2 linked regions of the Struthio camelus genome follow. The protein of the gene in region 2 interacts with the protein of the main gene of each other region in a biochemical or structural test. Links are inferred from orthologs where the notes say so. Each region holds a gene or a part of one and is shown on either strand. Other genes may lie near its edges.

Region 1 (3,743 bases), on a different chromosome or scaffold from region 2:
GGAGAAAACGGTACTCTGCAATGTGGATGTGGCTGGTGGGAAGCACACCCACAGACCCTTTCCACGGAGAGCTGCCCGCATGCTCGTAGTGACAGTTCAGCCCTTAGCTCTAGCCAGTCCTGCTGTGCTCCGGGAAAATAACTGGGACAAACGCCTGGCGCCGCCCCACAAGGGATATCCCGGTCCGGGTTTGCCGGTTCAGAAGCAGGCAGCACATGCTTGGACTTGAACGACTCCGAGCTCGGGTCTGCCGGCCTCCACCGGCTGCCTCCGTGCCGGTGCCGCCGCCCCGAGGATGCGGAACCGGGCCGCGGGCCAGAGGCCGGCTGCGCTTGCACGCGGGGTGCGACCCTTATGGTGGGCAGAGGCGCGCCCCCTTCCCTCCCTTCCCCTCCCCTCCCTCCCTCCACCCCGGCCGGCTCCGCGGTGAAGAGCGGCGAGGAGCCGCCGCGGGGCCGCTGTACCAGGCCGACACCCTGACCGGCAGCCCCAACCCCCGGCTTCCCGCCCCGCCAACGGCCGCTGACGGGAGGGAGACTACAATGCCCAGCATGCACCGTGCTCTCCCGGCCTCCCCCCCTTCCGGCAACTGCCTCCTGCTTCTGCGCGCTGGCCGGTGCGCGGAGCATGCTGGGGCCGGTAGGCCGCGCGCTGCATGTCGGGGGGCGTAGTTCGAGCGCCCTCTCCCGCGTAGCTTGCCCCACGCGCTGGGGCAGGTGAGGGCGCGCGCGGATCCGGAAATGTGTTTGAAGCGGGGGAGGGACTTAGAGCTCTCTCCTTCGCCGGAGCGGGAAGAAGTGGGCGAAAGTCCTCTTCTTCTTTTCTTTTCTTTGCCTGTTTATTTCACTAATTCTTTCCCCTCCCTTTCCTCTCCCTCCGCCCTTCCCGCGCCGTTTCCCTTCCCTCCCCGCCCGCGGGCGCCGCGGCGCGGCCCGTCCCGTCCCCCGCCGTGCCGCGCGGCGGCCCCTTTAAGGCCGGCCGGGCGCGCGGCGGCCTGCGCCTGCGTACCAGGGCCGTGACCCCGCAACCGTCGGCGCCGCTGGCGACTGTTGAGGGTCCCCCGCCTCCCTCTGCCCCTCCCCCTCCCCCGCCGGGCAGCGCGCGGCGCCCCGGCCCCCGTTACTGACCCGGCGGCGGCGGCCGTTGCCATAGCGACCCCCCCTCCCTCCGCTCGGCGGCCGGCACCATGGAGGCGCCGGCGGAGAGGGGCGGCGGCGGCGGGACCGCGGCGGAGGGCCCCGCGGGGGTGATCACGGAGATCCGGGCGCCGGGCCCGCGGCCGCTGCGCCTCTTGGAGTGGAAGGTGTCGGTGGGGGCGGCCGTGCAGATCGGGTCGCTGCTGGCGCTCTGCTCCCCCGTGCCGCCGGCCCCGCGGCCCGCCGGCCCCGCCGCCGCCGCCCCCCCCACCGCCGGCCCCGCCGGCAGCGGCGCCAGCACCCGGCCGCAGCGGGCCGGCCCGGAGCGCAAGCTGAAAGCGGAGCGGCCCGGGGTGGTGCGGGAGCTCTGCGCGCGGCCCGGACAGGTCATCGCGCCCGGGTGAGTGCGGGGGCCGCGCCGAGACCGGCGTGGGGGGGCGGGACGGACACGGGGGCCGCGGCGGCGGGCCGGAGGCGGGGGAGGCTGGAGGCGGGGACGGACGGGGGGACAGCGCCGAGCCCCGCGGCGGCGGCGGCGGCCAGCAGGTGCCTAGCTCGGCGCCGCGAGTGCCTGGGGCAGGCTGCCCTGAAACGCGGCTTTCGTGCTTTTTCCGTAAAAAGCCGAGATTTGTGCTCCCCTCCTTGCTCTGCCGGGTGCTGAGCTAAAGGATAAAGACCTTGTTTTGTGCCTATTAAAGCTGTTCGTTTATCCAAGGTAGTTGTAGTTGTTACCCTTTCCTGTAGTTACTGTCATAGTAGTAGTTGTTACTCTCCCTCGGCCCTTACACTGCAACGTGCTATTATACCATGTACAGTCAGTCGGGATCCTATGGGGGTGGGGTGGGGGAGAAGCCAACGTGGTATTCTTGATAGCTTCCAGTGATTACAGATGTTAGCTAGGTGATATTTAACAGCAGCTTTCGCCTGCGTTTAAGCCTTGCTTCCTCTTCATGATGATTGATGTGAATTGTAAAGCTTAGTCTGCTGAAAGTGTTTGATCTGAAGCCATGTAACTTCTTGCAAGAAAAGGTTTATCTTGTGCAGTTTTATGTTGAGTAACATGCGGAAAACAGTGGTGTAAGGGGGAGGCTGGGGAGGCGTGCAGGTGAAAGAAATCATTCCCTGTTTCATTGTTCCAGAACTCGGTACTTCACTGTGAACTTTATTTTCAGAGAACTGAGCCGTCATGTATTTCACAACTCTTTGAAAACGGCTCTTACTAACAAAACTATTTGTTATCGTATTATTCATTGAGATATCGTTCTCAGGTTTGGTAGTTTACTGTTTAGTTTGTGCAAAACTCAGCTACTGAAGGGATCGTTTACTGCTTAATAAGAATATTAATGGGAATCAGTGCTGCATCGGAAAAACATAAGTTACTAAATACGATGTATGTAATGCTGGCAGCCTAGATGCTGTTAATACTATAGATGTTTTAATGTATAAGGCCTCACAAATGCAAACTAGATGATCGGATTTGAATTTTCAAAAGAGCAAGGGGTTAAATGCCAGATATTTCCCATCGTTTAACAATGCCTTTGTCTTGATAAAATTGTATATTGGTTAACTTAATTTTAAACTCTTAAATGGCTAATAGTAAGATAGGGCCTCTCAGATTTCTATGTTAAATTGGGCTAATAGCTTGCTACGCTGCACTTCAAGCAGATTTTTTTTCTCAACAGGAAACCACTGAAACCCTCTACTTCCTCTGTTTTATGACAGCAAGTTATTTTCTTTTATTGCCCTTCTCTTGGTTCTTGGGTGGGTGCAGCCAGGCCTAAACTTTCTTGATTGAAAATCAGGAGTATATGCAAAACATCTGTGTACAGAGTCATTCTCAGAGGTTCAAGAAAAAGCATTGAAATTTTTAGCAGTCAGTAATATGAGATGATACAGAGAAGACAGAAGCCGTGTTTTCTCTCGCTGCTGAGAGCACTGTTTTTTTCTGTGGTAAGACCATGGCTTTCCATTTGTACTACATTCGTATTCAGCTCTTGCCACTGGTGCAAGGTGGACAGTCTTTTAATATCTGCTTTAGAACAAGGGTACCATGAATGCTAACTCAGACTAAAAGTATCTGAAAAATACACACTAAAGTTTTAAAACAGTGTATGTGTGATGAAGTTCATCTTGATAGTGCTTTGTGGAAGGGCTGATCAAATTGTCTTGTGTCATTGTGTTGACTAAGCACCTGGGGAAAAAACAAGCACAAGAAGACTTTAGATGGTGAATATAAACAGCTGAAAATTATGCTGGGATTAGCATAACAGCATTTTAGATTTAGCTTTGCTAAATGTAGACTTTTGGACTTGGATGCACCATTTTTTATGCAGTGCTTGTACTGGGTTTTTTCAAAATGGATTCACTTGATAATAGCTTGCTTTGAAACATTTAGAACACGCTATTGTTTTACTGTTGTGTTCGTGGCTTCCTAGCACGCTTGTGTCTTACACAGCAATAGTCAATACTAGGAAGCTAACTTTTAGCTAAACTTTACTTTTCTGTAGTGGTAATTACTGGGAACATGTAAAAGAAAAGTCCAAGTGAACAGATAGTGAAAGGATGTCCTGAGGGTAGTAGAGCTAGCTCAGTAGTTGGGTACAGAAG
Region 2 (3,743 bases):
CACGTCATTTAAGGGCAAGCAGATCTTCAAAAGAGAAAGCCAACGCTGGGATTGTCATAATAATATTCCCCATTGCACCAGATCCTGTTCTCTGAACAGTGTTTCAGAGGGCTGATCCTGCTGGGTACAGCTGCTCTCAGCACCTGGAGGCCGCAGCACACCGAGTCCCTAGAGGACAGGGCTCTTCCTCTCCAGCCCTCGCATTACAAATGCCACAAGACAAAAAGACAGATACCTGCCTAAATGCTGTGTTTCAGGCCACCGTCACTGAGAGAAATTATGCCATGACACACGGGTTTTTGGGTGACGCCAGAGTGAAATCAGCATGCAGACACCCCTCCTCTCCTCACTTTGCGTTTCTGTAACGGGATGCTGCGTACAGCCCCACACGACCCACAGAGCGGCCTCCTTAGCCCGTGCTGCTTACTCGGTTAGTGCCTCCCTAGCCTGCCCCATCTCTCTGCACACTCTCAGCATGTGCTTTTTGCGTAGTCCCTAGTACAGCCGGGACAGTCAATACCTCAGGCAGTTCCTCCATGAACAACAGCCGACGCAAAAGCCCACGCATGCCGGGGGCGATCGGATTTCGTACAGATGTATGAATGCGCACAGAGGTGTCACCTCCCAGCAGCCGTTGGCAGCAGCTCAGTCACCCCACAGCTACTAGGCTGCACTGGGTGTCGCGCAGCTTTGCGGCCAACAAGGCGATAACAGGACCTACCCTTCAGAGGTAGGGCAGCCACGAGATGCAGCGTTATCACAACATCGGTATGAGAGGAAAACAGGCCACAGGGCTGAGATCCTGCCCACATCCTTAAGGGTTCAACATGTAGCACGTTACAGCAGTAAATATTGCAAAAGAAGTACAAATAGGTGGTAACATCCTACAGAGTGACAACACATCTCTGGCATCCCAAAGATCAGCCTTCACCTATGCGCTCTCCAGGCCTTTCCCAAATACAGCACAGCTGTGCTCCTCACACTTACCCCCTCCTTCTCATTTTCCATCAACACTTTCTTCAGTGCTACTTTCTTGCCTGTTTGACGATGTTTTGCTTTGAAAACTTCCCTGTAAAAGCAGAAGGAGATGTATGAGCAGCACAGCAAGAGAAGGAGCCAGGTGCTACCTACCAGGAACGAGACCAAACAAAACACTTTATAGCTTCACAGAGAGAGCTCTGTGCTGAGCCACCATCCAACCCAGCCAGGTGCCCTTCAGGCCAAAAGCCACTAAGACTGGCTGGGACGATGCAGAGCCCAGAGCAAGGGCACACACAGCTCCCACACCCCCCGGGAGAACAGTGGCTAAAGCGTCTCACATCCCCAGCCCAGTGGGAGAACGAGATGAATGTTGCAAGGACATTTTTCAGACTCCAGGCAATAGGAATCTCAGATGTTGTGGTAGAAAAATAAGGTGTGAGGCTGGACTCTCTCAAAAACTGCAGGAGGATGCTCAAAACATCACCACAGCAGAAGGAGGGAAGAGTCTCTGCTCCTCCCTGTCCTGAGCATCTCCAAAACCAACTCTTCTCTGCCACCAGCAGGCCTGGGACAGAGAGGGGACCTGGGGTGGGAGAAGGAGCTGGAGGAAGGGGGTTCAGGGGGGTGCACTGCTTCCCAGGAGCCAGAGAAGGGACAGGGGAAACGACACTCGAGCTAGGAGCACTCAGAGCCCAGGGGCACCTCAGCCGAGAGAGAGCAGGGGAAAGGCCCTGCCACCCAGAGCAATTGGGCTGCAGAGGGGAGCAGAGGCAGCAGCTCTGACCCCAGAACCGGGGAGGGAGGGGGGGAGGCTGCACAGCCCTGCGCGGGGCCAGGGGGAGAAGAATTGGGGGGGGGGGGGGAAGAGATGAGGCCCAGGGTGAGGAGGAGAGCAGGGGACAGGCCGGGAGAAGAGAGCCGGTCCGGGGGGGGGGGGGCTGGTCCCAAGGGGACTAAAGCGCCAGTCCTAACGTGGGGGAGGGGAGGCGAAGAGGCCGGTCCCGGGGGGCGGGGAAGGGGCCGCGGCCGGGACCCGCAGGCCCGAGGCTGACGCCGGCGCGGAGCAGGCGAACAGGCCGCGAAGAGGAAGGCAGGACCCGGCGTCGGAGGGCGGCGGCGCTCACCCGAAGGTGCCCTGCCCGATCTTGGCCAGCTTCTCGTACTTGGACACCTCGTCGCAGAAGGGGCACTCCACCATGTCGTACTGCTTGGCCATGCCGGCCGCCCCGCTCCGCTCCGCTCCCCTCCCGCTTCCGCTTCCGGTCTGCCGGAGGCCACGCCCCTTCCGCCCGCCGCCGCCGCGCGGGCCTCTGGGACTTGTAGTCCGCTGGGGGCGGCCATGTTGGCGGCGAGGCCTAGCAGCCGCCTCCTTCCCTAGAGAGTCACACCCAAGCAGCCCAGCCCTGCCCAGCCCAGCCCACTGCGGGGCTTCTCCCTCACAGCGCTCGGCCGCTTCCCCTCCCATCACGTCTCCCCGAAGACGGGGGCCATGCTGCTGACAAAGTCGCGGGCGCGTGCGGGGCACCCTGGCCCCGGGGGCGGCGGCGGCAGCGGATCGCCCTCGTCCTCCCTGCGGGTGTTTTCCAGCGGGTGGTTTTGCGTCAGCCTGGCCTGACGCGCCGAAGACACCCAGCCGTTGCCTGACGCGCCGAAGACACCCAGCCGTTGCCAGCGTCCTTATCCCTCGCCGAAGGGCCGTCCTTCCCCCCGGCCTCAGCACGCGGCGGGGCTCACGATCCCTCTGCCCGGGGCGATGCCCTGGGTCGGGGGCCGAACACGTTATCCCAGGGTTATTTAAAACGGCTGCCGAAGGCGGAGAGGCGCAACAGGAAGCATCCGGGCCGGACGGCAGCGGAGACGCAGAGATGGCTCCCGGCGTGCCGCGCGGCAGGATCCGCGTGCCGCCTCCTGGAGAGAGGCGGAAAGCCGGGACAAGGCTCCCTGCCAGGCCGGGGGCCGCCCTGCCCTGCGCGGAAAAAGGCTGCGCGTCCCCGGCGGGGGCACCCGAAGGTCCCCCAGGCCGGGGTGGGGGGGGACGGGAACGGGGACTGCCGCTGGCGGCGACGCCGCTGACGCCGGCCACCAGCCGGGGGGGACCGGGCGAGGGCAGGGGCTGCGCTCTGCCCCCGCGGGGCCGGCGTCCTCGCCCGGGGGCTTTTTTGGGCGGCCGCGTGGGGGCCGGGAGCGGGCGACGGCGGGCGGGCGGGCGGGCGGGAGGAAGCGCGGAGCGAGCGCGAGGCGGAGGGGGCAGGAAGGGAGGAGCGGGGCAAGGAAGGGCTTGAAGTTTATAAACTTATCCCTGCCGGTCCCCGCCGCCACCGCCGCCGCCATGGCCGAGAGCCAGAAACGAGGGGGCTTCAAGAAATTCAGTAAGCGGCGGTGGGGAGGAGCGGCGGGGTTGCTCGCCTGGGCGGCCCGGCAGGGGCAGGGGACGCGGGCGAGGACGTGGCTCCCGCGGGCTCTGCTTTCGTTCGGGCTCGGGGTGGGGGTGAGAAGATTTGGGGGATTTCGCCCTCGCCACGGTGGAGGGCGACCCCAAGGGCTGCTCGCCCAGCAACGGGGTGCTGGGACGGGGACCAGCCCGCCACCGGCCAGCCCCGCACCGGGACGCGGTGGGGGCGAGCCGGGCGCCGGTCCCCCATGCCGCCGGGGGTTTTCCCTCTGCAGATCGCGTCTCCCTGGGAATATTTCCCGCCGGGAGCAGGGGTGCGGGTGCGCCGGCCGGAGGGGGAGAGCAGACGAGCCAGGTTTCGGCGGCCGGG

The links.
Region 1: of the proteins of CDK9 (region 2) and CTDP1, one has a biochemical effect on the other in vitro, tested with the Homo sapiens proteins (3 studies listed by BioGRID). The link is inferred for Struthio camelus from reciprocal best matches to the Homo sapiens genes CDK9 and CTDP1.

The regions. Positions count from the first base shown.
Region 1 is NC_090943.1:93,998,534-94,002,276, forward strand, and holds the start of CTDP1 (RNA polymerase II subunit A C-terminal domain phosphatase), read left to right. Parts: upstream 1-1,019; 5' UTR 1,020-1,186; coding exon 1,187-1,536; intron 1,537-3,743. UniProt on the Homo sapiens protein: Processively dephosphorylates 'Ser-2' and 'Ser-5' of the heptad repeats YSPTSPS in the C-terminal domain of the largest RNA polymerase II subunit. This promotes the activity of RNA polymerase II.
Region 2 is NC_090961.1:7,658,244-7,661,986, reverse strand, and holds the start of CDK9 (cyclin-dependent kinase 9), read right to left. Parts: upstream 2,275-3,743; 5' UTR 2,198-2,274; coding exon 2,106-2,197; intron 1,070-2,105; coding exon 988-1,069; intron 1-987. Other genes in the region: SH2D3C (SH2 domain-containing protein 3C), read left to right, coding at 3,311-3,350. UniProt on the Homo sapiens protein: Protein kinase involved in the regulation of transcription.